Linked DNA regions of Daphnia pulex. The protein of the gene in region 3 purifies or fractionates together with the protein of the main gene of each other region. This does not show direct contact. Links are inferred from orthologs where the notes say so. Each region holds a gene or a part of one and is shown on either strand. Other genes may lie near its edges.

The links. Proteins that work in one complex are often made in the same cells at the same time.
Region 1: the proteins of ribonuclease P protein subunit p21-like (region 3) and ribonuclease P protein subunit p40-like purify together in Homo sapiens (co-immunoprecipitation; 3 studies listed by BioGRID and IntAct, counting the BioPlex papers as one, with this or other methods). This does not show direct contact. The link is inferred for Daphnia pulex from reciprocal best matches to the Homo sapiens genes RPP21 and RPP40.
Region 2: the proteins of ribonuclease P protein subunit p21-like (region 3) and ribonuclease P protein subunit p30-like purify together in Homo sapiens (co-immunoprecipitation; 3 studies listed by BioGRID and IntAct, counting the BioPlex papers as one, with this or other methods). This does not show direct contact. The link is inferred for Daphnia pulex from reciprocal best matches to the Homo sapiens genes RPP21 and RPP30.

The regions. Positions count from the first base shown.
Region 1 is NC_060026.1:1,153,323-1,162,175, reverse strand, and holds ribonuclease P protein subunit p40-like, read right to left. Parts: upstream 5,523-8,853; 5' UTR 5,422-5,522; coding exon 5,299-5,421; intron 5,238-5,298; coding exon 4,931-5,237; intron 4,870-4,930; coding exon 4,744-4,869; intron 4,679-4,743; coding exon 4,495-4,678; intron 4,434-4,494; coding exon 4,219-4,433; exon of another isoform or gene 4,162-4,218; coding exon 4,076-4,161; 3' UTR 4,007-4,075; downstream 1-4,006. Other genes in the region: NPC intracellular cholesterol transporter 2-like, read right to left, coding at 228-323, 395-597, 656-766, 939-1,041; uncharacterized protein LOC124204677, read right to left, coding at 7,148-7,211, 7,269-7,440, 7,513-7,551, 7,622-7,763; beta-taxilin-like, read left to right, coding at 8,139-8,228, 8,299-8,442, 8,506-8,641, 8,707-8,825. UniProt on the Homo sapiens protein: Component of ribonuclease P, a ribonucleoprotein complex that generates mature tRNA molecules by cleaving their 5'-ends. Also a component of the MRP ribonuclease complex, which cleaves pre-rRNA sequences.
Region 2 is NC_060018.1:992,747-1,001,000, forward strand, and holds ribonuclease P protein subunit p30-like, read right to left. Parts: upstream 4,974-8,254; coding exon 4,941-4,973; intron 4,875-4,940; coding exon 4,806-4,874; intron 4,747-4,805; coding exon 4,537-4,746; intron 4,437-4,536; coding exon 4,369-4,436; intron 4,307-4,368; coding exon 4,227-4,306; intron 4,159-4,226; coding exon 4,007-4,158; downstream 1-4,006. Other genes in the region: uncharacterized protein LOC124188900, read left to right, coding at 754-894, 1,083-1,247, 1,314-1,460, 1,536-1,673, 1,905-2,003, 2,068-2,226, 2,291-2,501, 2,567-2,769 and 3 more; dynein regulatory complex subunit 4-like, read right to left, coding at 5,659-5,913, 5,982-6,093, 6,154-6,341, 6,406-6,573, 6,635-7,039, 7,101-7,218, 7,280-7,524, 7,599-7,652. UniProt on the Homo sapiens protein: Component of ribonuclease P, a ribonucleoprotein complex that generates mature tRNA molecules by cleaving their 5'-ends. Also a component of the MRP ribonuclease complex, which cleaves pre-rRNA sequences.
Region 3 is NC_060026.1:4,900,775-4,908,883, reverse strand, and holds ribonuclease P protein subunit p21-like, read right to left. Parts: upstream 3,302-8,109; 5' UTR 3,253-3,301; coding exon 3,130-3,252; intron 3,067-3,129; coding exon 2,966-3,066; intron 2,887-2,965; coding exon 2,655-2,886; 3' UTR 2,477-2,654; downstream 1-2,476. Other genes in the region: uncharacterized protein LOC124206086, read right to left, coding at 4,320-4,613, 4,671-5,018. UniProt on the Homo sapiens protein: Component of ribonuclease P, a ribonucleoprotein complex that generates mature tRNA molecules by cleaving their 5'-ends.

The DNA.
Region 1 (8,853 bases), about 3.7 Mb from region 3:
GTTAAAGCTAACATATTGACTCAAATAGGAACTTTTTGTTTAGTATGGTGCAGACAGACAAAGTTTTAAATAGAACCCAATCCAATCCCACAGGATATTATAAAATGATAAAATTAGTTATGTTGTTGTTTAATAAGTGCCATTACCATCTACGATTCTAAATGCAACTATCCACTGATTTTTTAAATACTAACCCTCTAGGGTTATAGCCATGAAGTTGATTTCAACTATTTCGATCGCACAAATTTGGCTGGTACATTTAAGCAGACGATTGTTTTGTCGTCGTCATCATAAAGTTCCCACTGAATGTTCACGTTTTCAGCCTGTCAAGTAAAACAAAATGTAGAAAAAAATTAGCGTCCATCGCCTAAAAATGAATCATTTTTCAACGTACCACTGGGTATTTATCTGAGATAGAAGTAGTTTTGGAGTAGGTGTAAACCTCTTTGGCATTCAATTTGCAACCGACGGCCAATCCGGACTGTTTATTAGTAATGCTGGGACAAGCCAAACTCTCTTTCGATTCCAGATCTGGCAACGAGATATCTCCAATGGTAACAGCAGCTCCGGTAGTGATGTCGCTTTTAATGTTGGTTGCTTGAAACAAATTAGGAATAAGGAATGCGTTTCATTAGCTCCACGAATCGATATTTACCTGGAATAAAGTCGAACTCGACAGTTACTTGTGATCCTCGAGTCAATTGACATGGAAGCGTTTGGCAGTCGGATACGCGCACCTCCAGCACGATGGCGGTCATGTCATTCCCTACCAAGAATAATTCAAAATTACGTCTCAATATTTATCAGAATTCAAACTTAAATTGTTCGACATTTTTATATGGCCGTATTTAAATTTCGATCTCCATCAGAGAAAAATTCAGAACAGTCCGACGTAAAATCAAGATAGGGCGAAATTAAAAGTTTGTAAATGTTCTTACCGAAACAAGGATGAACTGATACACGATACAGAGTCTTGTCTGCATGGGCGTAAAAGGCTAGAACGATGACTAGTACAGCGATGGATCTCATTTGAAGAGCCATTGCTGCTGTTGGAGCTTTGCAATGCTTCCGGACGCTCAGTCAAACAGGTCTGATCGTCCTTTGAACATACTGTGCTATTTTATAGAGCCTAAAAAGTTGTTGAATTCGCGTCAATATCCATTCGGTTTAGTTCTCGATGACTAAGACGTCCATGGGCGGATTTAGTTCACATGTGTTCAACAATGTTTCACAAGTGTTTCTACCTTTTAGAACCACGTCGTCATTTCTCGCATTTTCAAAGTATTCGTATTAGTTTCGGGTTGGAATTGGGACAACTTTGAGTTGCAGTAATTCACTTATTCGTATATTCCAATTCAAAGTGCTTCAAAGTAAAACCAAGTAACAACTTTGCATTGCCCTGGGGGAGGAGACTATTTAAAAACGAGACCGGTAACCGGATAAGGTTTATCTTTCATCAGCAAGTCTAACCCGTACGTCGCAATGACACATTTTTTTTTCACTCGTGTTGTTGTTGTTGTTGTGCATACGTGCGCCACGCGTCGAAAGGATCGCGCATGAACGATTTCACCAGATGCACTAAATGGGAATAATCGGAACGCAACTGTCCTGCACTTGTCGATGAGCGAGTTGGATTAAAACAAATTTCAGAATAGCTGAACAACTGAAATGTTTAGTCGTTCAAGCGGAAACTAGAACGGTTGGGTTTTAATATTAAAATTGTAATTCATAAGATAGGTATAAGTATTTGACTCGCTTTAACTTTAAATCTTCGTGCTTTCTCGTGTGCATTATGTGTATCATTGGTATTTCTTTTTTCTCTGAAATAATTTTACCTTTAAACTTCTTTAGGCATGCAGTAAAAGACACCAGAGCCAGAATAGTAGACTGACCGATGTCGGGAGAAACGCGGGATCGAACTTTTGCAGTTGGCGGGAACGCGTCGTAATTTGAAAAATAAACGAACTGATTGTAGTTCTGCCCGGCCAGTAATTGGGGAAGCCCGCCAGCAAGAAAACAGTAATATCAACCACAATCAAAGTAAGTCACCAACAATATTCGAAGCAATTTTGTTTTAACAGATCAAATAAGATTTTCATGATCTATCTCTATTACTACTAATAAATAATGTGTTTAAGTAAAACCAATTGAATCTTCGAATATATTTCCAGTTTCAGCAATTGAAAAGCAGACCATTTATAGTGACGCAAATACTTCCTCCTCTAGTAGTCCACCGGTAAAATGAGTGTAACCCCTACCATTTAGATAGATACCGGTGGAGAGTTGATTAATTTCAAACCAAATTTGGTCGCCCTTTTTCAACCTCAGCGTTGATGGCAGAGAAAAGGTTCTCCATGTGCCTCTTAGGGCGAACGCATTAGCGTGACAATATGTGATGTCCTTGCCATTTAACTTCAGCGCAATGTAGAGGAGTAGTCTATAAGAAGATTCCGGAAACCACGCCAATCCGTTCAGGTTGAAAAAGTAAGTCCCTGTTGTCGTTGCCGTGAATTTCCCCGTTGATGTATTCATAGCTCCGCCCACATTTACTAGTTCTTCGTCGAATATAATTGTTGTATTTGCTTGACTGAAAACATCGTTCTTGTTTCTCCTGACAAAGAAGTAAGTCGGTGTAGATTTGATATCAGAAAATCCAATTCGCGTTTCAAAACCTATATTAATTAAATCATAAAAGTCATTCCAATGCTCCTTCTTTTGAGCAAATCAAAGTATTATATCAGAGGATGAACTTACTGGGATCGAAAGTTAATTTGGAAAAGTCGCAGTAGACTGTTTCGACATACTTAGCTCCCATTACCGAGTACACTCCATTGAATTGGTGTCCTAGACTTTTAAGATCCAAGCAGGAAGTGGGCATTTTTGTTGCTAGTCCTTGTCTCATAGTAGCGTTACTTGGGGTTAATTGACTGTTGATTGAAGGAGCATTCCCAATTCCTTGCTTTAGATTTACAATCTTTATAGTTCGTTAATATCCGGTTTAACAGTGAAAGCGATGACTTACATGTTTCTGGTCTTTTAGTCTCAAAAGTTCTTCTAACTGAGCATCTTTAGCTTCTAGTTGAACAATTTTGATATCCATAAGTTGCTTTAGGTGAACCTTGCAATTTAAATAGTTTTAACATTAAAGCTAACCTAAATGAAATTTAATTAAATAAAACATTTTTGATTTATTACATAGCTTTCCTTCAGTTGCTGTAATTCTTCTTCTAACGTGAGTTTAGCTGCGCAACTCGACCAGGTAAAAGACAAAATTAGTATATAGAATAACGCTGTCGATAGTGGAGCCATTTTGCGATGGCCCCAAGTCGGAAGGTTCCGTTTTCCCAACTGATTTAGCGACAAGGATTCGCTATGGGTTTAAAAGGCTCTTTGACTAAATCATTCAATTTTTCGTAAACATATTGACTTGGTTGCGTTTTACACAGTTGCAGCTGGTGTATCTCCTTGAAAGGAACAAACTCCATACGAGACTGGTGCGGTCTGAGAGGATTCGAAACTTCTGTTACGAATAATCATGTGGTAAATATTTTTCTTTTGTGGTTTTATTTCAAGGTATTTCGCAGCAGTGCACCGACAGCTGTTGATTGAATTTCCTACTGAGCTGTTGACTCATGGCCCTCTTTTTGTCAAAGGTATGTCATTATTAGTATACACAGTCGTCGTTCAGTGAAAACGTTCTTTGTAAAAATTTGCGGTAGAAATAACTAGTTTCCGCGTTTTTTGCAGCTGTGTAAAGCTTGATTTCTTTTAAAAACGTATTCAGTCCTTAAACATAAACAATACGCAATTTTAAGTTCTAATCATTAAGTAATGCTATGAAAAAATTGTTTTGCGACACAGAATTTTAGGCTGTTTGAGGACATGGCTATTACATTTCTTTCCCTCCTTTTTGTAATGGCAAAACTCGAGTGATACCGGAGTGCAGTTGCATGTGTAAGCAACTATGAGGTACAGATATAAAAGATTAATTTTTTGTTTTAATCGATCCAGTATCTGACTTAATTTATTCAGATGTGTTTTTACAGAAGATGAAATAACAAAAGTCGAATTGAATTCATTTGATTTTCCTTCTAGATGTCTGGTTTGTAAAGACTTGGCAGTTGTCCGATGCCGTTGTAAAAACCGAGCAAATACTTGATGCTGAAAATTAAAAATAAATTAATATGTGAAATTAACATGATTGCCAATAAAACACACCTATTTGGAATTCATCAAATCCAATGAGAGTGAGATTAAGCCATGATTGAACAGAGTTTTCTGTTGCTTCTGGTCGCAATTTCAAAATCACGCCGAGTAACTCTTTTGCCTGTCTTGCAGAAAAAAATCCTTTCCATTTCAAGATGTGAACCTTTTCAGATTTATAACTGGGCTCTGGGCATGTCATTGAAGAAGTGTAATCTTCTTGGTCAGGACTTAGATAAATAAAACAAAGAATGTAATATCTCAGTTTACTCTAAAAGCATATCTAGTTACCATGTGATATTCAATGCAGCAGCTCCAACCCATTCAACAACATCTGAAATGTCTGTTTCAGTGCATAGCAGTGGAACCTTTACTTGATTTAAAATTCTTTCTTCAAAGGATGGCAGACACTGAACTACCTGAAAGCCAAGCAAGTCGAGGTAAGCAGCAAGGGAAGATGGGCAGATGTCAGAATCTGTGGTAAAAACATTATTATTAGTCAACGCTTGATACAATTTCCACTATTAAGAAAAGCCTTACCGTGTGGATGCCAATTCATGATCCAATCAAATTGTAGACTTGTCTGATTTTGTAAACACCAACTAACTCTTTTGTAGTATTTAGAATCAGGGGAAAACTTATCATCAAGAAGATTAACAGAAATGTCTACGAAAACCAAATACAATGTTAACAAACTGAAAAAATTTACAGTGAATAATTAAGTTACCGTATTTAGCAGGACACTTTTTGGATGAAATTACCTCTGCTTGGCCACTTAACCCTAGCTCTTGATACACATCTTTGCAGACAGAAAGATGAAGTTTGCCTGATTCAACAACAATACTCTGATCAACTTCACCCCATGTTCCTAAAGTTCTGGCATCAAAATGTCCTTTTTTAACAAATGCAGAGAGAAAATCAGGGTCCAGCAACTTATGAACGGGGAATTTGTTAACTCTGTAAAATGTTGAGTCTAAAAAGAAGTCTTGAATTTCAGCTATTTCAGTAATTTCCCCAGACAAGATTGCAGTAATCTGTAACAAGAATACTCCTCTATTAGAATAATGTAAAAAGTTATTGAAGTTTCACTCTTACCCCATGAAAATGATTTCCTAGGTCTTGGGAAGGCACTTTATTAAGTATTTGGTCTTTCTTCCATGTGCATGTTTGTTTCAAGGATTTTGGTGGAGGAAAATTTATTACCTCTGGATTGTACATTTCAGGAAGTATTTGAAAGTTAATTCCAACGAAAAAAGAAGAAGTTTTCGATCCGGTGTGGTTTGTAATTGTTTTGTTTACTATTTTAGTCAGTTCCTACTCCATCTAGCGAAAACGTTTTTAGTTATCGATAGTTTATCTCAAAGCTTATAGATGGCGTCACTATCATTACGCGGTTTATTTAAACTATCTAAGTCGACTATATTATAATAATGATATAAAATACCTAGGCAATGAATAAAGAGGGCCAAAGAAGAAGTTACGTGGAAAATTCATAATTTTCTAATGATTTTCTAATGAAGTCTGGAACTCTGGAAGATTTTGTACGATACAATAGATTAACCGAATATTTGTAGCATAATGAATAACGACCACTATGTAAGCATTCAATTTAGTGATCAATTTGCTGCATTACGATAATTGCATTAATCAGAATCATCTGGAAAAGGTCTACAAAAAGAAAATACTGTACCCGCTAAGCTTGCTTTTCCTTTAAACACCCTCCGAGCTCCCACAAAAATCTCTTCCTTTTTATAAGTATTTAACCCATTAATCTTATTTTCCATAGAGATTACTCAATAATTACTTACCCAGACTTTTAATAATTCAGAAATCAGAATATTCAGAATTGATAGACCTCTTGCACCGTGCGGATAGCAGGATTCTTGTAGTCCGACAATGTTGCAATCCGCCATCTTAATAAAACCACACCCTTTTTTTACATGGGCTCTTATGGGAGTATTTTTTCAAAGTGCTTTTTCTCTTACCTGGATTACAACTTCGACCAAAGAAAAATATGGAAAAATACTACATCATTCAGGTAATCCGTAGAATGTAAGTTTTCCACTATTGAAGTAGTGGAAGTCATATTAATTAAATGTTTTGTACAGGGCATCCCCTAAAATTTCAAAGTTGGTTTTATCACAAGTGTGTTGTCAAAGGGTGTCCTTCTTCTTTTCTGCGCCCTGCGATCAATTTTAAGAGCTCATTAATGGGCTGATCTCCTGATTGAATAGCCAGTATCGTGTTGATATGTATTTTTAATGATTTCATATTCTCATTATTCTGAGGTCGACACTTTCAACTCAATTGCTGTTTCTGATCTAGGTCCTGGCTGTTGCACATGAATATAACAGTTATTAAACCCACAGCCAAATTGATACTTCTATTGAAATTCATTACTTTTTCTTTAATGCAATCCTAACATATTCAAATTTTTTTAGTTACAGGCTAGGGATAAACTCACAGCATTGGAGGTTTCACAGGAATTCCAAATATCGATTGTGTTGGCACAAGAACGTCTTTATTTCATGGAAAGAAATGGATTGATTTGTAGAGATGATACTGTTAGAGGCCTTGTCTTTTATCCTAATCTCTTCTCAAGTTCTGCTTAATAAACATTTAAAAATTGTATTAAACAAGTAGTGCACGTCTAATAATTCACACAGAAGGAACTCTATGGGTTAACTCTTGAATGTAATAGTTTTAACAACAATCCGATATGCTGTACATATTTGTTGTGGATTGAAATGCACATTCTATATCAAAATCTACAAAATGGAATGGAGAACCTGATAGATTAATGTAAAAGATGAGATGTTAGGCAATGAACAGCCAAATGGCAATTGTATTTTCAAGCACAGCATTGTCCCTCAAGAGAGATCAAACGAGAAGTTTTTCAATTTCTTGTTGTAAAGACTGAATCTGTGGTTTCGGTTATGATCCCTCATGTACAGTCACAGAACAAGCTGCAATAACAGAACGGGAGACTCCACAAGCACGTCCAAGTGCTAAATAAAGAATGAGTTTATTATAGCACATCTAAACTAATAATTTTATAAAATTACCTTGCTTTGAACGGACAAACACATATGACATATGGAACGTTTTTGTCTTCACAATCACACAGCAATGGCAGATGCAACAAAATCTCCAGTTCAAAATCTCCAATTCGCAACATTAACTTGTTTTCCGTATCGTGTTTCAGTGTAAAATTGACACACACACACACACGACAATCTAAATAATAAGGAAAAATCAATTACCAAGTGTTTCAGTGGGAAAATGTTAAAAATTGTAAGTATACTATACATGTTTTGGTCCTACATATGTAAACAATGCCCATATGCCCTATACAAAACATTTAATTAATATGACTTCCACTACTTCAATAGTGGAAAACTTACATTCTACGGATTACCTGAATGATGTAGTATTTTTCCATATTTTTCTTTGGTCGAAGTTGTAATCCAGGTAAGAGAAAAAGCACTTTGAAAAAATACTCCCATAAGAGCCCATGTAAAAAAAGGGTGTGGTTTTATTAAGATGGCGGATTGCAACATTGTCGGACTACAAGAATCCTGCTATCCGCACGGTGCAAGAGGTCTATTGACACCCTTGCGCGATTGCGCCATCTTTGTTGTTTATGCTCCTCCTCCCCCATCCTCCACTTGCCATACTGCCATTAGTCACCGAATCAACGGTCTTTGACGGCCTAAACCTCGTTTTGGTCTTTGGGGTTTTTTAATAACTGGATTATCTCTTACCGAATTGCTGACATTTCTAAAAGAATACTAAGTACCTTGATAACAAAGAGTTTCAGTAGGAAATTGGTGAGAAACCAAACAAAAAAATTTCTGTTGTACACATGGTCTTCATGATTCTTTTATGATTTCATTTTCTTTTTTCATTTTGTCGTCCAATCTAGTAATAGAAGAATGAATTTTCAGCTTCAGTCATTAATGCAGCAGATCAGCATCAATGACAAGACTTGTTCTGAGGAAAACGAAGGTGAAAGTCAGCATTCGGTATGTTAAACATCACCACAACTTAAGTAACCTAATGGTCTATTATACATAATATTTTGACTTGGGTCAGCAGAGCTATTTTTCTTCTCCGTTACCTACATGGAGTTCAACTCCATTACATAACCAACAAAAAGCCGAACAAGTTAGTAGTGATTCCCCAAATTCTAGTATGGAAAAAGAACAATTTACCCCAAAGAAGAGAATTTTAACTCAAGTAATCATCAATTTGTACTACACATAAAGATACATATTTAGTAATTGATGATTAATTTTTTAGTTCAAATTGGCACCAGAGGAATTTTCTCTTGAAGATGTGCAGCATATGCAGAAGCTCATCAAGGAACTCCATGCAGAGAATGTTCAAAAGACAATGTCCTGCATTAAGCTAGAACAAACTTGCCATTCTTTAAAAGGTGAACACTTTCCTGTTTAGGTTCTGATGTTGAGTATAATTCAAACTTCTTTATTACCACTTTAGATGAGATTGCTTACTTAAAACAAAAAGACCACAAACAAAACTTGGAGGATTCAGAAATTTATCGTATGGAAATATCTAAGAGTCCAGCAACTGTATCAAAAGAAGAGAAGCTTGTAATGGTGAGTCGTGACTCGTGAGTCCTTATTA
Region 2 (8,254 bases), on a different chromosome or scaffold from region 3:
ATTTACTAATTGTTTCATTACTAAACTCAAAAGAAAAACGGAAGAATGCAATAAGATTTTTATTGCGTTTCCAAACTTTTGAAAAAATTTTATTCCTAGATGAAACGCATTTTGAAACAAAACAGTTAGAAATTTCAAACTTTCTTTGACACCTGAGGCTATGTAAACGCTTGAGCTTTACTGGCTTACTCTTTCCACCAACAGGTAGGTACAAGAGAAGCACAAGGTGTGTCGCGCACCGGACGCTAAAGTTTTCACTCTGTCGAAATTTCGGGTTTCCGTTGAAACAATTTCATCCCAGCACCTGACCTGCAGATTTTTACCTCCACATTCCTTGTGGATTCTCCTTTTGGTGTTCTTTTGTTGCAACTTAACAAGTGTTATTTGTGCAGCACAACTGTTACCACCTGTTCTGTCAAAAGTTCGTTCCAGTAAACTGTGTTGGCGTCCCTTTAAACGGTAGAGTTTGATACTGTATTGTCATTATTGTGTGTGTCCACCTCGTTTTTTCTTCCTAGTTGAAAAGCACGGTGGTGAAGGCATGCCGTTATGTTTTTTTATGGTTGTGGGGCAGTCGTGTAGAAATAGCATTGATTTCTAATTTCTAACAGCAAGGTCATTCTTTATGCCTATCGGCCATTAAGAAGAATGGGTATACAATGTCAATCCTTTTCTTCATGCTCGATCGCTGAAAAAGGGCTCCCACTAATACCTTGCTAACAAAAAGAACGGTGTGTTGTTCCATTTGATTAGGCAGTAGCTGTTTCTACAGTTGAGGCTTTGAGGGAAATCTTTCTTGTCGAGACGCTTGGCGAAGTCCTTGGACAACTAAAAACGTCCCCTTCATCTGAAGGAGCACAACTGAGAGAAATATTTGAAAACCCTCATCTTACAGTAAATAATAGCTTTCTTCTTTGTTTAACGCTTCGTAGATACGTACAAATTTCGCATTTTAAACAGCTGACTAAGGCATTTCTGTTCCATGTTGGAGAATGCTTGTACATTTTTTATGTCTAAAGCTTAGGCCTAATAGAAAAAGATTGGATTAGTTTTTACGGTTATAAATAATTGCATTGTGATAGGCATTATTGGAAACGCACGACGCTGTCACAGAGAGACTGCCCTCCAGACAAGGATCCGTTGAGGAATCGCCATTCGGAGACTTTGATCCATATTCGTGGGAAATGCCGGCCGACATAAGTGATGTGCGTGCAGTGGGTATTAGAAAAAATCCTGGCGAGCCATTGGTAAGACATCCGAATTAGATTTAATTTGTCCAACAAAGATTAACGTGTTAATATTGATCCACTTAGGGACTGACAGTGAAAACGGAAGATGGACAGTTGGTCATTGCAAGGATTTTAGCCGGAGGAGCGGTAGATCGCCAGGGACTTCTACATGTTGGTGACATAATTGGCGAAGTAAACGGTATTGTTGTTCGGTCGGCAGAACAGCTGCAGGTAAAAATGAAAGAAAATAAGTTATGGTTTTGAAATTCGAGTAACAGGAGTTTATTTATTACATGTCGGTTTCAGGTGGAAATCGCACGTTGCAGAGAACACATTCAACTGAAAATCTTACCAAGTTTCCAAGAGAATGGTTCGAATGGGGCACAGGTAGGCCAATCGCCTAGCACAATCCTGGCTTCCGAGACTCTCAACAGCGTGTCCGTGGTAAGTGAGCCGGTAATTCTGCCCGTCTGGTGAATGTCTGTAGCCAACTTCCTTGGGTCTAGTTTTATTCACACTTGTAGCAAAACCTCTCTTCTCGCGTTGTTTTGGACAACCCGCGTCTAACGGTGCAGATTCGACTCACTTATCCACTATACGGTCGTCTGTCTCCCAACTCGATAACGAGTGACCCTAACCTTATTCTTACTAATAATCATCTATCCATTCCTACAGTGTTGCGTTCGAGCTCACTTTGACTATGATCCTAAAGATGATAAGCTCCTCCCGTGTCCTGAAATTGGTCTCGCTTTCAAAAAAGGAGATATTTTGCAGGTAATTTGATGCTTTTAAAAATTACAAGATCTATTCAAGTGAATCATTTATGTTACAATTACAGGTTGTGAATCAAAGCGATCCCAATTGGTGGCAAGCAAAGAAGGTGGGCTGGAGTGGCCCAGCTGGTTTAATTCCTTCACAAGAGCTGGAGGAACGTCGCAAAGCGTTTGTGGCACCAGAAGCAGATTTCGTTCATAAAATTGGCTTCTGTGGAACTAGGGTACGTTATCTTTTCCCGTTAAAATTCAGCAAACAATAATTGTAATATTTACAACCATTAACAGATCTCAAAAAAGAAAAAAAAGTTGATGTACCAAATCAAATCAAGTGTTGATTTGGATAAAGCCGAGCTACTCCTTTACGAAGAGGTTACTCGCATGCCACCGTTTCGTCGGAAGACTTTGGTACTGGTAGGATCGGAAGGCATCGGGCGACGTACATTAAAGAACCGGCTGATCAACAGTGATCCTGATCGGTTTGGAACCACCATGCCTCGTAAAAATTTTCTTCATATCGCAGATTGCATTTATACGCACGGATTAAACATGTTGTATTTGTAGACACGTCCCGGCCGATGCGTGAATTGGAGGAGGATGGTATGGGCTACTGGTTCGTCTCGCGCGAAGAAATGGAACACGACGTCCGTGATCATCAGTTTCTCGAATTTGGAGAGCACAACAATCATATCTATGGCACAAAGTTAGATACCATCCGCGCCGTAATCCGCCAGGGCAAAATGTGCGTTCTTGACTGCAGCCCGAACGTAATATTTCTTTAATAACATATTGACTAATTAACACCATAGCAAAGCTCTATTATCTCTGCATTTCATGTAGGCATTAAAAACTCTACACAATTCACCAGAGTTCATGCCTTATGTCATCTTTTTAGCTGCACCTGGAATGGACCAGTTGAAAAGTCTTTACGAGAACTCCCGATATTCCAGCCGGAATTTGGGAACGGTTAGAATTCTATTTTTTTTTTTCTGTTTTCTAAATGTGTTTATGTTTGTGTAACTTACCCCATTTTCCCCCTTTTGGTTTAACTAGTTCGATCGTTCCAGTTCCATTCGTTTCAGTTCGAGAAGAGCACGTACTCTCGAATCCCTGACATCTTTATACGAGGTTTATTTTCGTACATGTTTTGCATGTCGTATAATCTAGTTTGTCCCCAATCAATTTAATTATTTCAAATTTTGCTCTACAGGAAGAGGATTTCAAAAACGCCTTGGAAGAGAGTGCTCGTATTCAGCGAATTTACGAGAAATATTTTGATCAGATTATTATTAATGAAGATCCCGATCAAACTTTTCGCAAAGTGGTTGAAGCATTGGAAATTCTTTCCAACCAGCATCAATGGGTCCCCGTCTCATGGGTCTACTAGACAAAAAACCAATAACAAAACGAATTCATTGCCAATTAAATTTCAAGCGATTTTTATGATTCATTGTATTCTTTCTTCCTCACTTATTTGACCGCATGCAGCCCACAGGTCCTGAACTTCTAGATCTTCCAAGAATCTGAAAACTTTTTACGTCCAACTGTTCACGTCTCCTCGTATGACAAAAGGGACAAAGTTGAGTTATTTTATACACACAAAATTTATTCATTCATTTGATTGAGTACTTTCTAAGCAGCACCGTTTTAGATTTTGTGACAGAGAACTTGACATATCCTTAATTTTGATTGTCATTCAATATAATACCTGAAGTGCTAATATGAAATTAAAGATCTTTCAAAAACGAGAAGATTATTAAGATTTAATGTTGTGTAGGTAGCTTTTAGGCTCTCTATACCTAGGGCAACATTTTGTTTGCATGAAAGTGTGAATGTCTATGACGTGCGATACATCGATCTATAATTGCAACATGTAAAGCCCTCCGCAAAAGCAGCTGTAACTTCAAATTTTCTGTTCTTATGTAGTTCAGCCATAATCTATTGATCAAAATGGAATACAAGTAAGTGCAAGATGTTGTCGAATTTCGTTTTTTGACTATTAAACTAAGCAGTTTCCATTTTCATCTTTTTGGGCTCTGGTTCTCCCGCAAGTCTTTCTTCCGCGTCAGTTATTTCCTTAGCTTTCCATTGTTCCTCTGGATCCAACTTGTCAGTTTCAGCAATAAAGCTGACACATTTTCCTGTTTTTCGAGTCACTGGAAATTCCCGAATGAAAAATGTAAAAGTGTAAAGTTAAATGCAGAAATTTATAGGGAATATATACCAGCATGAAGTGCAACGGATCGTCCACTCAAATTTAAAGCAGATCTAGCTTCTCCTTCACTTAATCCAAGAAGTAATCCTCTAAAATATGCAATGACTTATTTAGTCTCGTTAATAAGCAGTATCAACAATGTGTTCCTTACAAATTCGCTACGTCGTAAGGATTGCGAAGTTCTAATGGTGTAAGAGCTCCACTACTGATTATGACGTTCTACAGGAAGAGTTGAATATATATAGTAATAAACAACTAAGGCTCCAAAACACAAATAGTAAAATTTGGTCATTCTGAATTTGAAATAGATAAATCTCACCCGGGATTTGCCAACTGTATGGTACAAATGTGAAATCTGGATAATCTTTTTCCTATTTGACGAATCTCTAAGCATATGTGAATAGGGAATCTCAAAAAATATTCCTCTGTCAGTAGCTTGGCGATAATGTTTTCTGGTGAATCTCAGCAATTCTTTGGTTTCAGTCGGATGGTAGGTGATTATGTCTATATCCATGTTGGCTGCTGCATGCTATTAAAAAAAATAATTAAATAAAATTGATTTCAATCATAAAGATAAAAATAAAATACTAGAAAAGCAGCCGTAGTTGTTGGGCAGACAGCTATCAAATCAGATTTTTTGGTATTCCCCGATTGGATCTTTTGAGAAACACAAAATGCTTATCAGTAATTCCCAAATAAAGTGCATTTATATGGAGTACTCACAAGTTTCTGTGTATTCACAGGGTCACTGAGCATGACAGTCAACCGATGTAAGATTTTAACATTCTTCCCATGGACCTAAAGTAAGAGGTAAATTTGAATATAAAATCAAATCCATAGTTTCATTTTACAATACTTTAAATAAGTTCAACTCTTCTTCGGTGAATTTAAGTTTTAGAGGAGGTGGAACATCTTTTTTCTCTTCCTTTACTTCATTTTTCTTGTTCCCTTTTTTCTTGGTGTTGATTAAAACATCTTCTTCTATTGTTGTGTTAATAGCTATGGCACTATAACCAACTGAAAGAAAACAGAACAGGTGAAAACGACGAAATAGGGCAGGATTTTAACTAATTCATTTACGTTTGACAGCTCTCAACACGACTTCTTTAAGTGTTGTAGTAGGACTGCATGGACATGGGATATTGAAATCACAGAAACCTTGCACAGTGTTCATTGTTTTATATATTCGAAAATCTTTTGATAATTCAGTCACGTGCTTTGAAACAAAATCACAAATCACAAACGAAGCAAGCATGTGAATCAAGCAGACGAATTTCTGTCCCTCTAGCGACGCAAATTTATTTGTTTACCAACTTGACAGACACTTGTTAAAGGAAAATCACGCTTGATTTCGGTGTTTTTAAACAGTTAGAACACTAAGAAACAATATAACAATTAAAATGTGAAGTAATTAAATTGAAGTAGATTGTTCTGTTTTTGTTCAGTTGGCTGTTTTTAGTTTTCGTTGAGTGCTGGTTCCAACACCAGCACCATTGATGTCCAGAACTGCTGATGTAGACTTTGTTGAACCTACAACTGATTTGACAGAACCAGATTTGATGCTGATTCTTTCTTCAACAGCTGCTAAACTTTCATTGGAAGATTGAAATGATTTATCTGGAAGCTCCTCGTGGTGTGGTGCCTCAAAATTCATTTTAACCACTGTCTGTTTCCTCCCTTCTCTCAAAGACGATGACTGTACAGATAGAAAATGTGAATTAACAATTTGCTGATTAAAAGTGTGAGTGAAAGTGTGGAAATTACTACAGTCTCGCCAGACGCATTTGTACCCCCATCACCGTTTGAACCCGGACCGTGCGAGGTAAATTGCTTCAAAGCATTGTCCTTACACTTGAGAGTTTCTTGTAAAGATTCTCTGAAATCCAACAAATTAGAAGCTGTTATCTGTTTTCTCATATCTAATGAATTATTTTACAATTTTTTCTCTAGAACGAGTTGCTTCAAATTAGCTTTCTGTTGCACCTCCAGTATGGCAGCCATAAAGTTTTCTTCCAACTCATCTCGTTCAGTTTTAGTTCGCGCTAAACGCTGCTCAGCTACTTCACGTTGCCATACTGCTTCTTCAAGCTGCTTAGACATTGTTTTAGCGTGACCCTTTGCCGCCTAAAAGGTAAGACAATTTTACAATTTGTTTCCTTTGTAGAAAATGCTTGTAACGTTAGAATACTTGAAGAGAAGTTTTAGCGTGCAGCCAGTTTTCTGTGTCTTTCTGCAATTCTTTGTTACTTCTCTCCAATTGCTCGCATTTTTCACGAAGGTGCTTTATTTCTCTATCAGTCCTATGAAACTGCTTCTCCAATCTTTCTTCTTTAACACGAAATTCGGACAATTGTTCCTGGCCATTAGGATACTCAATTTTACGATTACGATTCTACAAAAACAACAGTATGTTTTACCTTCATAGAGGTGATAAGTGTCATGTTGTTGAGAATGATATCGTTGAAGTAGTTTTTCAGATTTATTATTGCCTGCTCGTGATTGATTTTCAGTACGGCCAAATGCTGTTGATCTTTTGTATCAACATCTTGCAAATCGCTCCTCCTTCGCTTTTCTAGTTCGTTCCTTTGCGCTTCCGTCTGATTTTGGAACTTGAGCTCAAGTTGTCTAGCTTCGTGCTCTAGACTTTTACGCATCTCGCTCATTTTTTTCGAGTGCTCCAATTTGATCTTATCGACCGTAAGTTGCTGTTGAAGACTAAGCTGACGTATTTCCTCTTTTAAACGCTGCTGTTCTAGACGCAGTATTTGCTCTTGCTCCTGATGTTCCAAATGAGCTTGCTCTAAAGCAGTTTGTTGCTCGTTCTATATAACAAAGAATTTAGTTATTGTTTTCATTCAACTTTATTTAAAAGTAAAACTAAACCCGCGATTCAGCCAAAGTTGTCTGGTGTTCATGAAGCAGGCATTTTATTTGCTGCTTGTACACTGCTATGTCCTTTTGTCGTATTTCTTCTGCGTCGTCTAACTCTTTTTCTTTATTCCTATTCATAAATGAGTCAAGTAAATCTTTCGTGGTTTTCTTAGAACACTGTAATTCAATACCTGAGACGGGCTCGTGTATCCTCAACTTCTTCTTTTGCGACTTTCCAGAAACCATAAATTTGATCACGTTCCAGTTGAAAGAAATTGCGCTCTTCACGTTCTTTTTCCAGTTGATCAAGAAGTCTAGTTAAGTGATTGAGAAGCTGATCTCTTGACATTTCCGATACTGGTAATCCATCCAGAAGTAAAGCACTACGATGGGACACATTCTTCTTCCCAGTCTTTTTACCTTTGCCTCCTTTCGCCTAGTCGTGTCATTTTATGTAGGTTATAAACTTATAAATGTCCCTTAAGAAAGAAATGGAATACCGTAACTTACCGGTTTTCCCGTTTTAGCGCCGCCAGCTGACTTTGGTTCATTTTTGCTCACCATTTTAAATAGACAACCCTTCGAATCTTTTCTTTTTTTACATTGATGCACAAGAATTGACGCGTTTGTCTGCCACTGTTGCGTTACCTAGTAACAACAAGGTAGCTATCCCAAGCTGATTGTTTGGCGTTGGTCGCTAAGTTACGTTCCACGGATGCATTACAAAAATAGCGGGTATTATAGAAGCTTTCATGTTGTTCTTTCCTCTTGAAAAACAAAATCTTTTATAAGCAAACGTTTTGCTTATAAAAAAATTGCGCACTGCATATTTTAAGAAAAGTGGGGTTCTACTGTCGGGCATTCGAATAATTTTTGTTTGAGTTCTATTGTCGGACATTTAATATATTTCAAATTCAATGGAGTTCTATTGTCTAACATGAAAATAATTAAAGAATTAATTGGAGTTTAAGTGTCGCGTAGTGATTTTTAATAATATTTAAAAATGAGTTCTAATGTCGTTGTAGTTCTACAGTCGTTGTAGTTCTACTGTCGCATTCAAAGAAATTTTTAAAAATTATTTAAAATATTGGGGTTCTAGTGTCGGTGGAGTTCTTCTGTCTTTGGAGTTCTACGGTCGCCATGCTCTTCTGGTGGTGACGATGAAG
Region 3 (8,109 bases):
GGCCTACTATATTCACGGCCACTCATCTGAGCAACTGTCTGTTGCCTAAAGCGGTGGCGGATAGGGATAGCATTAGCAAACATGTCGTACTGTCGGCGCTGTCGGCATGGTATATAGAGAGGATGATAGAGCCACGGCCAAGAAATTAGTCCATAAGGATAAGGGTTTGTCATTTGTCCGAACCTGTTTGGCTGTTTCGAGAACGTCATATGAATGATACATTCCTAAAGGCATCTTGAAAATAAAATGGATGGCCAAACTCCTGAATCAGATTCTAGGTGTCTTGGTTCCCTTCTATGATTTGGAGTGGGGCGATCCTGCATGGAAAACTAAACATGCAAATCCAAACAACTCGGTAGGCTAAATCATTCAGTCAAAAGCGCTCTTTGTCCTTCCTTGCCGTAACGATCATCTAGCGCTATCTACAGGGATGTACCTTGAGGTATAACTTTATTTTAAATACTGCATACATTATACTACGAAACAGGTTAGAGAACGCATTTTATGAACTAAGCCAAAGCGCACAATAATCATTTCTCATCGCGGGCCGTTGCTGTTCGCTCCCACCGCGACTAATTGAACATGACATACAAATAAAAATCACGGCGTCAACCTGTTTGTGAGACATAAGTTTAAAATCGGATTTTACCACGAACTTATAAGCAGTATGTTACAATGGCGCATTTACTAGAGCTTCGTATTATAGATGCCAATGTCACTGAAGTGAAGATTGCATAGGCTACATCGGTTTCAAAGTCTGGCGGCTCTCGTTCTTGCTCAATCTTCCTATAGCGAAGCTATCGCCCATTTCAGGAGTCATGCCCATGGATTTTTTTTGGGCTGTGAATCGGGAAGATTGGAACCCTTTGAGGAAATTCGAACACCACGCCTGGTTGGGTGCCCAGTATAATTAAAATAACGCTTTTGTTAAAAAAAAATGATTTTTAATTATATTTGTATGAATTCTTTTGTTTAGATTTTCGACGGTCGGCATTTTATTTGAGGATGATGCATGCGAGTGAGTTATAGTACTTCCGGCAATCCAGACTCAACATCCTGGCTTCTTCTACCAACAGTCTACGCATTCTATTCTAAGGAATAAGGCTTGTTACCAAGATTGCGATGCTTTTCGAAGAAACTGTCATTAATAACTTGACTCAATTTCATTCGGCGAATCGTCACAACTGGACTTCTGCGGGCAAAGACCCTGGCGGCTGGACCGGCTGGAAGTCGGGCGGCCTAGTCGGGTGAACCTTACCAGCTGATATGAAAGCTGAGGACGACTCGCGAGATTGCTGCAATGTTAGTCCGCGAACGACATCAAGTTGATCTCACGGTACTACTCCCTTTCAAAACATTTATCATGTCGACTTCATCTTAATCACTTAGTTTTTTAAAAATCAATAAAAGAGCAAAAACATTTCTTCTTCTAGTGGTGCAATCGCAATATAATGGCGGAATATTGCCGGTTGGAAAACTTTCCGGAAGCCCTTACGTAATCAAAATACACCTCAACTTTTGTTTCAATTTATTCTAAATGGAAACTTACTTTTTGTTTAACTTTCTCGAATCTTTGCTCTGGGATTGCCGCAAAGAGTTTTGGTGGATAACACTGACATCTTTACTCCAGTTGGGTTTGCGTTGTGCATTTCTTTTCGGTCGGCCTGGGCCAAATACGCCGTGGAATTGTGTTCCCGGGTGGCGATGTAATGAAGCCAAGAAGAAAAGGCGCAATTATTCGATAACATCTTTCACAATGATGATATACATGAACTCTTTCACAAGAGGATACCACTGCCACCGACTCTACAGCGGTTTCGTTGGCTACTTATTTAACTATGGGTTTATCAATTTGCTAGTTTGACCAGCAGCGCCTGCGTAACTAAAATCGTCAACAACATGATTTCGTCATTCGTTGAAGTCATCAAGGGCATTTTTACTCTAAAGCAATTTCTGGCGAGGATGTTGAAGTTCACGTCTGGTAAAGAATTGGAATTTTTCTTTCAAATAAAAAATGTAATAATATCTTTAATTTAATAATAATTGTACGGGTGCAAAGGCGATACAGTGCACCAGCTCACATGTGGCTCCCAACAATACTGTCTTTCCCTTACATTCCTTTCTGTCATGTGAAGGATCTGAAAGAGCTGGAATTTGAACCCAATCAGATCTGACACATCCAAAATCTACAAGTTTGAATTTGCTGCGCAATCTCAAGACGTGTTGAACTTCAAGTAGGTCGTATAGCAGGTACGTACGTCGAACATCCGACTGGGAGCTACACAACTAAAGGAAAATCTCCGTTTAACGATTTCTCGTGGATGAGAGGGTTGAGAGCTAAAGGAACATATCCATTTGAATTTCCTCGTGAATGAAAGAGTATAATCCTTTTTCATATTTTTGGTTTACAGAAGTTAAATGCATCCAAAATGTGTAAATATTGATTGTAAATAAATTGTAGTTATAAAACGATAGATTGAGGCTAACATAGTAAAATAATCTTTTTATTCAAGACAGCAGGTCAGTTCTAGAATGTGACTTGCATTCTTAACATGAGATTTGTATCACACAGACACACATAACAACTTCTGAGTGGGGGAAATTCTTTTTCAATAGAATTTTCTTTTTATAATTTATCCTTTTTTTTTAAATTATTATGTGGAATCCATATTCTGCTCGGCCCACAGTGAGTATCCAGGATTCAAAACAAACTGTTTAACACAGCTACAGAGCATACATTTCCATTCCTGAATTTTCCTCTGATTTCCACGCCGACTTTTTCTTTTTCTGGAAGCAGGAATTGGTTTTATTTTTACTTCTACTGATTTCCCTGGAATCAATAGAACTTTACATCCTTTACATATTGTTCGTTTTACAGAGTGGTCCCTGATCGAAAATAGTGAAAGTAAGTACATGTTCATCAGTTTATCTAATAAGCAAGGATGTCACTAAATGTAATTATTACAGTTTTAGTTGAAGTTTTTTTCCGATGCTAATCATATTCTTGCCAAATACCGAAGTAATCTGTGGACAGTGAGGAACTGCATTCAAGGCCACAATCGATGCCTGATTAGAAGGAAATTTACAAATTAAAATTTTATTTTATGAAACTGTATCAGAAAAGTATACCTGATATAGGAAATTAAGTCTTTGAAATCCATCAGATCCAGAAGTGTTCGTTTTTTTCCCAGACATATTCATTTTGCTGATAAAATATGGTGCGCCGCCGCCGTTTGTAGCAGCGAAATACATACACTTTTTTGAAGTTTGAAGCACACCACTTCTTCGTCTGCTACAGTCGTCTGGTTAGCAACATTGCCAGATATTCTTTTTGCGACCGAAAATTCTAAGATAGAAAAGCAAGCTTATCAGCTCGCCGCGAAGGGATAGTCCGTAAGCCAGTTGAAAACTGTCTTAAATGACAAATTCAGGGCCTACGATTAAGTCGGACTTATTCACAATTCACAATCCGATCCCTTGCTGCGCGCGCGAGTTTCCCGATAGGAATGGTCCAACAATTTGACCATATACATACAATCATTTATTGTAATATAAAATACAATCATACAACCATTTGAGGAATACGGTTACTTGGTTAGAATAGATTTCAATCCTACAGTTCCTCATTGTTCACTTGCGACTTGCCAGCCTTATTGGCCTCTGCCTGAGAGGCAAGATTCAGAAAAATGTGGTGGAAAGGATCAAATTGGACATAGTTATTGCAGAGGGTAAACACAGCACAGAAGAAGAGAGTAGGCCTAAGTCCTAATACCATATTTAAATGTTCAAAAAAGCTTTCATAAAATATTCTTATTCCCATCCAGTCAATAAACAAATCAACGATAAGGAAAGAGTCGCCGCCGCCTTAGAGAATCCCTACTTAAAAGAAATGTTCGATAGTTGCATAAGAGATGAAGAATACGAATTTTTTTGAGAAGAAAATAAAAAAAAGACAATAAATTTCCTCAGAGTATTTTGTATTCCATTCCATGAGATCAACTCACAAGTATGAAAGGCACTGCAAAGGCACTGCAGAGACAATTTCATCGCACACATACACCCTGGATTGATTTTAGTAGAAGACTAGTACAATTACCAAAAAGCTCCCTGGTATATTTATAAATTTTGCAAGTGTTATTATCTCTGGTAAGAAGAAAAGCATAACTAAAAGCGACAAGCAAGTTTGTTTCGTGAAAGACTTGTAAACTTAAAAAAAGATCAAAATTTCAAAAAAACGAGACAAGTTAAGTGAAAAACAAAAGGGAAGTGGGGCGGGAGGCAGTAAGTAATTTCAGGCGAGTCGAGGAGAGAGGGACTTTTTAAACTTCGGACAGGACCGCAGGAGTGCTGGGAATAACATCCATAATCACTTTGACAAGGTCGTTGTTGTTTTCCTCGGGCTCGATCTTGGACGCAGGCTGCTGCTTCTCCAAGTCCGTGGCAGTGCAAAGGGAACGAGTGCGGGGTGCTCGACGGCCGCTACCGCGTCGGACGGGCTTGTCTGGCTGCGCAAGGTGTTGATTCAGCAGCTTGCTGACTTCCTCCACGTCGGCTTCATTCTTGCCTTTGATGTTCTCTTTGATGACCTCGACCACACCGTCATCTTTCTTGTCCTGCAAAAGAAATTTCAATTATCCGGTTAAGAATTGAAAATAAGAAAACAAACTCACCTTGAATGTTTCCGTAAGGCCTGCATAGGTGATGCCCGACTCGACGAGCATATCGCGGAGGAATCCAGCTCGCCGGCGAGGCTTGATACCTTGACGAAACATGTCAGCGAATACAGGTCTCCATTGAGCCTCCTTAGTCAATTCTTCTTTGATCTTCTTGACTTGTTCGAGCAAATGATCGCAACTGATGAGGTTCTCCTTAAGTACCCTAGTGTTGATGCGGCCGCCATGCACCTTGCGAAGGATCTTGTGAAGTGCTTGATTGAGCACGTTGAACAGCGCTCTCCAAAGGTGTGTCGACTCCAAGGTGGTGATCAGCCAAAGCTTTAAGGACCATGCGATGTTCATCCTTCAAATCATGCACCTAATTTCGATTGAAACGTTAGAAAATCTAACCAATTCACGTGTTACTATTTCAGTTTTTACCTATTGACGGAGCAGATCCCAGCCATTAACACATCCAAGCAAAATCTTGTTGACATCATCAAGAAGACGGTAACGTTCCAAAGCCTAAAACAAACTGAAAGTTAGAAACGAGTCTAAAAATAGAAACTAAATGGCGATATACCTGGAAGAGCTGAAGGATCTTGGGAGTGGCGTGGTTCAAAGAAGACTAAGACAATTTTCTTGTCGGTGAAATTATCTTTTTGGAGCTTGTTGAGCCACGAGGCGAAATCATTGCAGGCGGCCACCTTGCTCTTGGACTTGAGCATTCTGTTGTTGTGGATCTCCTTGAGCATGCGGTAACGACCCGCAAAGATTGTAGTTGCGAATTACATTCAGCGGTAGCTTGCCATACGGCATGACGTACTTGTTGAAATCGTGCCCTTCTGCTTTCTCTTCCTGTGCCACGTAGAATGATCCATGACGTACTCGTTGAAATTGTGCCCTTCTGCTTTCTCTTCCTGTGCCACGTAGAATGATCCCAGGTTGACCATCTCGTCGATGAGGCGTCAACCGGTAACGGTGGCTTCCCACATGACCACAGCAATGCTGTCTTCGTGTTCAGGCATTGGCTGTGCTGGCTGAGTGGTGATCACAGCAGGGGGAGCATCAGATTCAACCTTGGCCTCTGTAGTTGGTGGCTGAATTACCACCTCTGTGATGATCTCCTCGGTGGAAGATGAGGTCTGTTGTTCTTCACTGTTGTTGGTCATTTCTGTAATTTTATTCTGCAACACAAAATACTATCGATAAATCAAACAGCATTCAACAACAGTGTAGATGGTTAAAAAAAAATGTGAGCAAAGAGAATATGAAGGCAGGCTTCAAGAACAGTCCCCCTTTTCTTTAACCAATGTGGAATTGAATTAGTTAATTAATTACCTGAGGATCTACCATTGATGGCTGCTGGTTGATGGACCAGTAACGGTGGCTTCCCACATGACCACAGTAATGCTGTCATCGTGTTCAGGCATTGGCTGTGCTGGCTGAGTGGTGATCACAGCAAGGGGAGCATCAGATTCAACCTTTGCCTCTGGAGTTGGTGGACTTGAATTACCACCTCTATGATGGTCTCCTCTATGATGGTCTCCCGGAAGATGAGGTCTGTTGTTCTTCACTGTTGTTGGTCATTTCTGTAATTTTATTCTGCAACACAAAATACTATCGATAAATCAAACAGCAGACATCAAACAGCAGACAACAACAGTGCAGATGGTTAAAAAAAATGCGAGCAAAGAGAATATTAAGGCAGGCTTCGCAGGCTTCAGTTCCCTTTTCTTTAACCAATGTGGAATTGAATTAGTTAATTAATTTTACCTGAGGATCTACCATAGATTTTTACCTGAGTCTACCATAGATGGCCGCTGGTTGATGGAAGAGAATTATTCATTTACTTTCGAACGCTTTCGAATGAAGACTACAAAGTGCAAATGGAAGGGCGTCCCTAAACTGCGAAAGCGAAACGCGAAACGCGAAACGCCTAAAATGCGAAACAGCTGTGCGAAACGGACCCAAAAGTTGGGACCCTGTTTCGCATTTTAGTCTTTGGGTCCGTACTAAACTGCGAAATCGGTGTGTGCGAAACGTCGCAGTGTAAACGTCTTGGTAGCAGACGACAATGGACTCAACAAACAAATTGTTAGAGTTTAAATGTTTCGAGACTTCGAGTTTCGTGCAGTCGTGCACCTTATATGGCCGGTCTATTTGTGTGTTGACCATGAATACGGAATACCTTGAATGCAATAGGTGTTTTTAATTAAAAGATTGGTATAAAAAAATTAATGGGAAATTAAATTCATGTATCAGTCATTACTCATTAACATTCTTAATTTTAAGGAAAGTTTTAGCCGATTAAATTTTAGCTTGATTTGGAACATGGGAGCTTTGATTTTTAGCTTGATTGACACTCATGGCCGATTTTTGTCGTGATGGCCGATTTTTCTTTGTGCACGTAGCCTACTAGTTGATTTAAATAATTTAATGTAATGTATAGTAATCCCTGTGCCATTATCTAATATATTATTATTTACAAATATAAATATCACCATACCGTGCTGCTCTATGTCTTTTATTTGTTTAATCATAAGATGCGCATTAAAACATACAGGGGTAGTGGCGAAGAAATCGAATTTGATTGCCCCCCTTCCTCCTTTAAAGCCTCATCATAGCGGGAGACAATGAAAAATGGCGGCAATCTCCGTCAATTTGGACCTCTGTGGGAAAAGGAAAACTTTTTTTTCGCAAGATGTTTCGCTCTTTAGTATGCCCTCCGGCATTTGGTCCCGCGAAACGGTCCCAAAATTTTGGTCCGTTTCGCACAGCTGTTTCGCATTTTAGGCGTTTCGCGTTTCGCGTTTCGCTTTCGCAGTTTAGGGACGCCCCAAATGGAAAACAGTTAAACAGAAACAGTAGACCGAGTTGACTAGATAATTGGCTGTGTTTATACAGTCATCCGTGAAAGTTTCTTGAACAGGCAAATGGCTCTCTATGTTTTAAGTTTAATTTGACGGAAGGGATACTACGGTGCCTACCGTACCCCCCATATTTTACGCCCTTTTCTCTTTTTCTTTATATTCTTCTCTTCCTTACCTACGAAAGAAAAAGAGAAAAAGAGAAAAAGGCGCAAAATACTGGGGGTACGGTAGGCACCGTAGTATCCCTTCCGTCAAATTAAACTTAAAACATAGAGAGCCATTTGCCTGTTCAAGAAACTTTCACGGATGACTGTATAGCACGGCCTTATAGCAATGCGTCAGAACTCAGAACCATCTAACGGCAGTTTAATAAAACACGAAAACACAAATTCGAGTTTATAATTATGATTTCGTCGCAATATAAAAATCTAAATGCGACGGCTCCATGTAAAACCTTGTCTTGCACAAGATGATCATAATTTCCTAATTGTTTAACTCTAAGAAAAAAAACGTATAAGACATTAATGAAATAAACAACTTTCCTATCTCACTGAGAGGAACAACGCCATCTGTTGGTGTGG